2 linked regions of the Elephas maximus indicus genome follow. The main gene of each other region encodes a partner of the protein of the gene in region 2 in a complex. Links are inferred from orthologs where the notes say so. Each region holds a gene or a part of one and is shown on either strand. Other genes may lie near its edges.

The links. The genes of interacting proteins can lie anywhere in the genome.
Region 1: the proteins of GCC2 (region 2) and RAB6A are in contact, whole or in part, in a crystal structure (PDB 3BBP), measured with the Homo sapiens proteins. The link is inferred for Elephas maximus indicus from reciprocal best matches to the Homo sapiens genes GCC2 and RAB6A. Residues at the interface, in NP_852118.2 of Homo sapiens: Thr1585, Ile1588, Leu1589, Glu1591, Gln1592, Leu1595, Leu1596, Glu1599, Arg1602; in NP_942599.1 of Homo sapiens: Lys15, Ile46, Gly47, Ile48, Trp67, Arg74, Phe75, Ser77, Leu78, Ser81, Tyr82, Asp85.

The regions. Positions count from the first base shown.
Region 1 is NC_064825.1:48,734,165-48,737,910, reverse strand, and holds the start of RAB6A (ras-related protein Rab-6A), read right to left. Parts: upstream 2,791-3,746; 5' UTR 2,252-2,790; coding exon 2,182-2,251; intron 1-2,181. Other genes in the region: MRPL48 (39S ribosomal protein L48, mitochondrial), read left to right, coding at 2,988-3,165. UniProt on the Homo sapiens protein: The small GTPases Rab are key regulators of intracellular membrane trafficking, from the formation of transport vesicles to their fusion with membranes.
Region 2 is NC_064835.1:77,370,384-77,374,129, forward strand, and holds the start of GCC2 (GRIP and coiled-coil domain-containing protein 2), read right to left. Parts: upstream 2,819-3,746; 5' UTR 2,733-2,818; coding exon 2,727-2,732; intron 2,370-2,726; coding exon 2,313-2,369; intron 595-2,312; coding exon 510-594; intron 1-509. UniProt on the Homo sapiens protein: Golgin which probably tethers transport vesicles to the trans-Golgi network (TGN) and regulates vesicular transport between the endosomes and the Golgi.

The DNA of each region.
Region 1 (3,746 bases), on a different chromosome or scaffold from region 2:
ATTTTACCAACTGTACCATAATAAAGTAAGATGTTAACAATAGCGGAAACTGGGTGCAGGACATAAGAACCCTCTGTACTATCTTTTCAATTTTTCTGTAAATCTAAAACTGTTCTAAAAAAGTCTATTAAAAAAAAAAATCTAAGATGGCTTTAGGAATTACTTGGGAGAAAAAGTTATTAAAGGTTTAAAGAAAGAAAAGAGAAGCCATAAAACTCTGCACTATAAATTAGAACATAATTTCTCCGGAAACCTGCTGATATGTAAGATCTCTATTCACACTAAAATCTTCCTAGGATGAGAGATTAATGGGCTTTTCATGCAAACTAAATAGCTCTGCATCATAACATAAGGCAGACAATAACATCCCCAGAGTGCACAGTAAGCACTTTAGATCTAATTCATCAATAATGACCTATAGGCTATCTTTTATGTATGGTCTGTCCTGAAACTGACATAAAATGGCTAGACCAGGATCAACCCCACAGGTTCTATCAAGTTACTCACCTAGAGAAGCAAGCTTCAACTTGCTTCAGGAAAACTCGTAAGCAAAGAGGCTATATTTTTCCTTGGTAAGGGGGAAAAAGACCATCTATATGTGAAAGGAGAAAACTGATTGCTCAGGTCCAACTGGAGGCAATTTTGCAACTAGTGTCAACCTACTCTAATGCCATACAACTTAGTATAGATAGTTCAAAGTATTAATAAAAGCTCTGAATCTACATCAGTACCTGCCTTCCAGTCAAAACAAATAACTAACGTTTTCTACAACCTCACCTAAGACATCTAATAGGTACCCAATGACACATAATTTGGGGAAACTAATCTCTCAACGTCTGAATTTTTAAAGATGGTCAGGAAACGTGTGAGAAAAACAAATGAGGGTGATAATCTCTTAATTGCCGAGTGTCAAGTCGGCATAATACAGCACAAAACTGGAATTACTACAAGAAGAAATTTTAGAGACAACCATCACTAAATTAGGTTCTTGTATCTAATACAAAATACAGTAGTGACAACAGAAACCTGACCAGGTAAATGACATTACATTTTCACTCATCAGATAGTATGAAATGTCAAGCATAAGAGTCACTTAGCCAAAACGATGTAACATATGTAAATCTACTTTCGATAACTAGATGATGAATCTATTACTACCGTACTCCATTCCTCCCTAACCCCAAAGGAAATCCTACAAAACAAAGATGCTCGTTACTCTCAAGCCTCTTCTCTCAGAAATCCTAAATATATAATCGGAAAATACTGAAAAGGAAATGAACAATTAATAGTTTTCCAGTAATTCCTGCCTGCACCACCATGAGAATCAGTCACCGCTTTAGGATGAAACGAGAAAGAGGGGAGGTGAGAGGTAAAAAATTCCAAGTAAAATGATCATGACATAGCGTCTGGCAGAGATCTGAAAAGCATCAACACTACCAAAAGAATTGTCAGTGATGAAAGTCAGAGAAGAAAATGGGGGTTTCCGACAAGCCACAGCTCAACCCAAGGGGGGCAAAAATCGCACCACCGCCGCCACCCCATTTTCAAGTCGCCTCCAATTCAGATATCTACCATAACCCAAACTAATTCCCCACGGAAGTGAGAACCATCCAAGAATTTTCTCCGACCACCATTTCCCACCTTCTATAGGATCCGCACTTCCCAGAGCCAAGCCCCTGGGGAAAACAACGCCCAGATCCCACCCTCCTTGCCCAAGGTTGCAAAGGGCCTGTTCCCCGTAGTGTGGCTTTTCGGGGTAGGCCTTGCAGAGCAAATGAACTGGGCAAAGAGCATGGAATTACGGGTGCGGTTCAAGAAAGGGGGCTGGGGTTGAGAAGACGACGGAGACTGGAGGAAGAAAGGGACAGACAGGAGGCAGGGGCTGGGCGGGGTGAGGACTGGGGAGGGCAGATCGGGAAGAGAGGGAAGGGCTGCGGCGAAAGGAGGCGGCCGAGTCGGGGAGCGAAGGGCCAGGAGATAAAGAGTAAAAAGCCGAGCGACGGATGAGGACGAGGAGAAGCCGGGGGCAAGGCAGGGTCGGCGAACGCTGGGAAGGGCTGGGGGTGGAAGGGAGCACGAACGCGAGGCCGGCAGGCAGCCTCCGCGGACGGAAGGGCCGCACTGGGGGCGGTGCGGCGAAGCCGCGGCCAGCTGCCAGGAGTGGGGGAGCCGCGCACTCACCGCTCTGCTCCCCCAGGAACACCAGCTTGAATTTCCTCAGCGGATTCCCGAAGTCTCCGCCCGCGGACATGATGGAGCCGGAGGAGCTACCGCCGCCTCAGTCCAGAGACCTCCCGCGCCGACGCTGCTCCAACCGACAGACGAAAAAGGCGAGAGGAAGGGCAGAAGCCGCGCTCTCTCGGCCCCTGCAGGGCCCGGCGGAGAAGCAAGGCTGGACGTGAGGACTCCTCAACAGAACGCCACGGAGCCGTCGCCGCCGCCTCCCCACAGAGTCGCCTAGCACCTAGAGAGGCCCGCGGCTGGAAGGGGAAGGAGGGCGGTGTCGGAAGCAGTCACCGGTGTGCTCGGGGTTCCCAAGGTTAGCGCCCTTGTCAGCCGCGGCACCCGGCACGAAGACTGGGATGAAAGAGGCGGAGGGTGACGGACCCGGAGCCGCAGACGCGCCTGGGACCGCTCAAACGCAGCGCCTCAGCTCCCCAGCTGCCGCTGCCGCCGCCGCCTCCGCCTCCGCCGCCGCCGCAGCCCAACCTGCTGAGTGCGCGAGCCTCTGGCGCGGCGCGGGGCGAGCCCGGGCGCGAGCCTGCCACCCCTTCGGCAGCCGGCGTGCGTGAGTGCGTGCGTGCGTGCGTGCGCGTGCGCGCCACAGCCAGCGCCTTCCTGGTTCGCCGGATCTCCCTGCTTCTCCATGAGCAGCGAGACGAGGGAGGGTTCGATTGCCACGCCCATCGGGAGAAGGAAGGCGGAGTTGGGGCGGAGCCAGCGGAAAATAAGGGGGTGGGATTTGGGGCCCTTACGTCTCTTACGTGATGAGCCAGTTAGAACAGACCCATGGCAGGCAGAAGCGGGAGGGAGCTGGCGGCGCAAGAGTGGGCGCGGCCCTCGTGCCATGGAAAGGATCGCGCCGCGGCGGCCATATGAAGTGTGGCGCGTCGCAGCCTCAGTGGAGGGAAGGCGAGGCGAGGCGGAGGCGAGGCCGGGGCAGAGGTAGAAATGACCCTAGCAATGTGCGGGTGGGTTCGGGGAGCTTTAGGTGCCTCTTTTTTGAGCCCTCAGCTCTCCCTCACCTTCCTCAAATCTGCCATTTAGCCCTGCACCCTTCTGCATCTTTTTTCTCATCATCATTCCCCGCACGGCATCTTACTAGGTACATCATCCCTCGTTGCTCGCAGGGGGGTTTCGTAACTGCCAGTAGCAGAACTTCCACAATTTGCGGATGAGGAAACTGAAGCCCAGAAGGAGGAAAATGAATTTTAAAAAATCCCCACAGACAGGTTTGAAATCCAGGTTTTCTTATTTTCCCCCACTGAAGCGCTGCAGCCTGCTTATTGATTAGCCCACCCACTCCCTGGCCTGACCTGGCTTGGTTTTCTGTTACCAGCCCTTGTTTCTCACACGTTGACAACTCTAGGGGTAACGCCCACCTTCCGCCAAGGTAGAAAAGACTTCATGTAAACCAAACCCCTGATTTCACAGGTGGTGAAACTGAGACCGTCATAGGAGAACAGCTTTGCAGAAAGTCAGTCAACGTTAGGGGCGGAGCCTGAGCTGGAGCCCATATCTGGGCA
Region 2 (3,746 bases):
AGAATACTAAACTTTTTTTCTTTTGGAATAAAAAGAAAAGAAATTGAAGAGGGAACCAATCAACTTCAGCAAGTAACTATACTTCGCAAACTCAGGAATGGAAAACTTCGTTATTTGATGCCTCTTTTTACTTCTCTGGGCTCATGATTCCGTGCTGCTAATATTTCAACTAACTAGAGAAAACAAACAAACAAACAAACAAAACACCTTATTCTGAAGAATCTATAATTCCTATTAAAAAAAAAAAAACTTCAATAAACTTTTTAATCCTCCTCCTCCCTCATTTTATTTTAATAACTCAAAGGTAACTATAAAGTTGTGACATAGTAAAAACATCAAATGTAAACGGTTAGAATTTTTAAATAATACTAGCTTCTACCGCCCCACCTAAGGCTGCATTTGGAATCACTGGAAAACATGACTAGCCAATGTACTACTAAAAAAAACTACTGTTTTTAACTGTGAGTAAATGAGGTTGGTGGTCAAGATAAGCACTTTCAGCCCAATACCTGTACACCTGGATTTAGCTTTCTGTATTAGCAACATCTGCTTCTTGGCAAACTTGATGAGATCTTCTTTGGGCAATGTTTCCAGCTGAAAAATGTTGTCATGTTACCAGTTTGTTATAACTCACGTTTCTACTGTATCACAAAGAGGAAACAAAATGTCTGCCTAAAAACAAAAATATTCTATTGAATAAATTTTTATGCCAACTAAACACACTTTATTCCACGTTTTTTTAAATTAGCAAATCAATTTCAACTTAATTATGAATTAAGCAACTAATACCAAAAGCCAAACCAGTTGCTGTTGATTCCGACTCATGACAACCCACAGGACAGAGGGCTTCCAAAGCTGTAAATCTTCATGGAAGCAGACTGTCACATTGTTCTCCCGAGGAGCCGCCAGTGGGCTTGAACCTCTGACCTTCTGATTAGCAGCTGAGTGCTTAACCACCGTGCTACCAATGCTCCTTAACTAAGCAACTAAAAAAAGCAACTACTATGTATTAATCAATTACTACACAATGTCAAAAAAAAAAAAAAAACTTTAATTATCTTTTTAAAAAAAGATACTGTGGTCATAGCCTAAGAAATGTCCTGAGTTTTGACTCCTTTAATTGTAGGCGGTTGGGACTAAGGCTACCTAAAAGTTCCTTCAAACTATAAAATAATTTCATTCTATTCAAGGCTGAAAATTTCTTTGGCGGAATGAAAATGCATGCATATCTACAGCAACAAGATAAATGAAGTTTCATTTAGGTTTTAACTAAAAATTAGACCTTACTGCTACTACCAATTGCTACTGAGTTGTTTCAGTATGTCAGAGTAGAACTGTGCTCCGTAGGGTTTTCAGTGGCTGATTATTTTAGAAGTAGATCGCCAGGCTTTTCTTCTGAGGTGCCCGGGGGGACTTGAACCTCCAACCTCTTGGTTAGTAGCTGGGTGCATTAACTGTTTGCACCACTAAGGGAAGCCAAAAATTAGGCCTTAATACTTGGGAAAGTTATTTAACTCCTATGGGCTCAGTTTTCTCATCTGTAAAATGTGGATAACCATAGTAGCTATTTCTTGGTTACCATGAAGCTTAAGTGAAGTGACTCGGTGGTTAGGCAAGTGTCTGAAACGCAGTATGCACGCAGTAAACCTTAGCTACTAAGATGCTCACATTTCTTTTAGAGTCACTGAATATTTAACATTAGTATGGGACCAGAGCAATTACCTAATTCAATATTCTCTTTTCACAGCTTAGGAACAGAGGCCCAGAAAGACTGACTTGCTCAAAGCCTCTGCCAGTACAGAGAGCAACAAGAGTGGAGTCCCTTGATGCCCACTCTCCTTACTGCTCTTTCCCCCACCACCAGTTGGCAGTATACTCTGACGCAGCGCAACCCCTTGTGGGTCAGAACAGAACTGTGCTCCACAGGGATTTCAGGGGCTGATTTTCCCAAAGTAGATGCTAGGTCTTTCTTCCCAGGCATCTCTCGGTGGACTATCAGTGTCTTAGCCGTTCACATCACCCAGGGACACCACTATATAAAACCTCATAAATTAGACTGCTTTGTGTAATGTATGAAAAACTGCAAGATGTCTTAGTGTTGACCCAGCGGCAGGAAGTAAACAAACAGCCAACTCTTTCCATATGCGGGGCGGGGGGGGGGGCGGGAGTGGGTGGGTATGCAAGTTAAAAGAGATTCCCTTAGAAAAAGGCTATTTCATTTAAGTAAGCTATCGCCACTCCCCATGCCAAAGTTTTCCAATTCATCACCCTTCCACTCTTCAGGGAGTCTCCTAGTCAAGTATTCTCTTCACCTTAGATTTCCCAGTTCCAGGGGTGGCTGGGGAAGCCACCCCATCCTGAACAGGTTCCTGCAAAACAAAAGCAAACCCAGGTTGTCAGAATAACTTTTACTAGTCTGAGAGGAAATGCGTGGAAGCCTTTCAGGCAAACCCCTTCTCGTGGGATTAAGCGCAGGAAAATCCTCTCCGTGAGAAAGAGAACTAGGGAAGGCTGCAGCTGCGGAAACAGTATATAATAGGGACTGTACGGGGACAAGTACTCAAGAGTGACAATGTTTTGGGGGCTCCGGGACGAGGAGGGAGTTTGCTGTGCCCCTGATACCGGGGGGCCGATCCCCACGATCGAAATCGCAGCGGCAGCAAAGGCACAACTCTGCGCGGGACCAGAGTTCGTCAGTCCCAGCCCCGCGCCCCGCGCCCCATTACCTCCATAGCTGCCGCCGCGCCACCCGCCGCCACCGCCGGCGCCGCCGCCGTCTCACTTCCGTCTGCAGTCCAGGCTTCGGCCGCAGTCTCTGACGTAGCCTCAACTGCAGGTCAAAGGTCGCGCTTCCCCCGTGGCCGGCCCTGCCTCCCGTGTTTCCATGGTTACGGGCCGCGGTCTCCGCGGCGGCGTATGGGCCCCGCCTCTCGGCCCAGGCGGCCAACTCAGCTTCCGCTTCCTGGATCCGGGAGGCGGTTCCCCGCGCGCCACGCTAGTGGGAGGCAGTGTCGGGGAGAGGGCTAGGTGGGGACGGCCTCGCCCAGGTAATGCCCACCTGCCCTCCCTTCTGTTACTCTTTCCGTGTAGTGTATTGCAAGAGGCCTTAGGAACTTGAGTTTCTAACAAGTTCCCCAGAAGTTATACCTCAGAATCACGTGGGTATTCAGTATATCTGGGATGGAATTGTATATTCTCAGCAGGGGTTGGAACCTGAAAGAACTGGTTCAAAGCCCTGGTTCCTATTACCCCCTCCCATTGGTACAGTACTTTAAAATGTGCCAGGTTCTGATTAACCTAGGGTGGTGGAAGGTATACGTATGTTCACACTGAGGTAATTCACGTCTCAAGGAGTTTAACATGACTTAGGTGCCAAAGGAGCCCTGGCGGTGTAGTGGTTAAGTGCTTGGCTCCTAAGCGAAGGGTGGGCGGTTTGAACCCACCAGCCCCTGCTTGTGAGAGAGACGTGGTAATCTGCTTCCGTAAAGATTTATAGCCTTTGGAAACCCATGGGGCAGTTCTGCTCCGCCCTATAGGGTTGCTATGAGTCGGCATTAAGTCCTCCGCAGGGCTTTGGGTTTTTTTGGAAGGTTCCATAACCAATTTAAATCCAAATTTTTCTTAGACTGTAGCTGCTTCTATGTATAATTTGGAATTTGATGTCAAGCCCTGGTAGGTTTGACTCCTGCCACTGCCATTTGTTGGCTATGTGAATTTGGGTAAATTAGCCCTCAGGGGCTCATTTT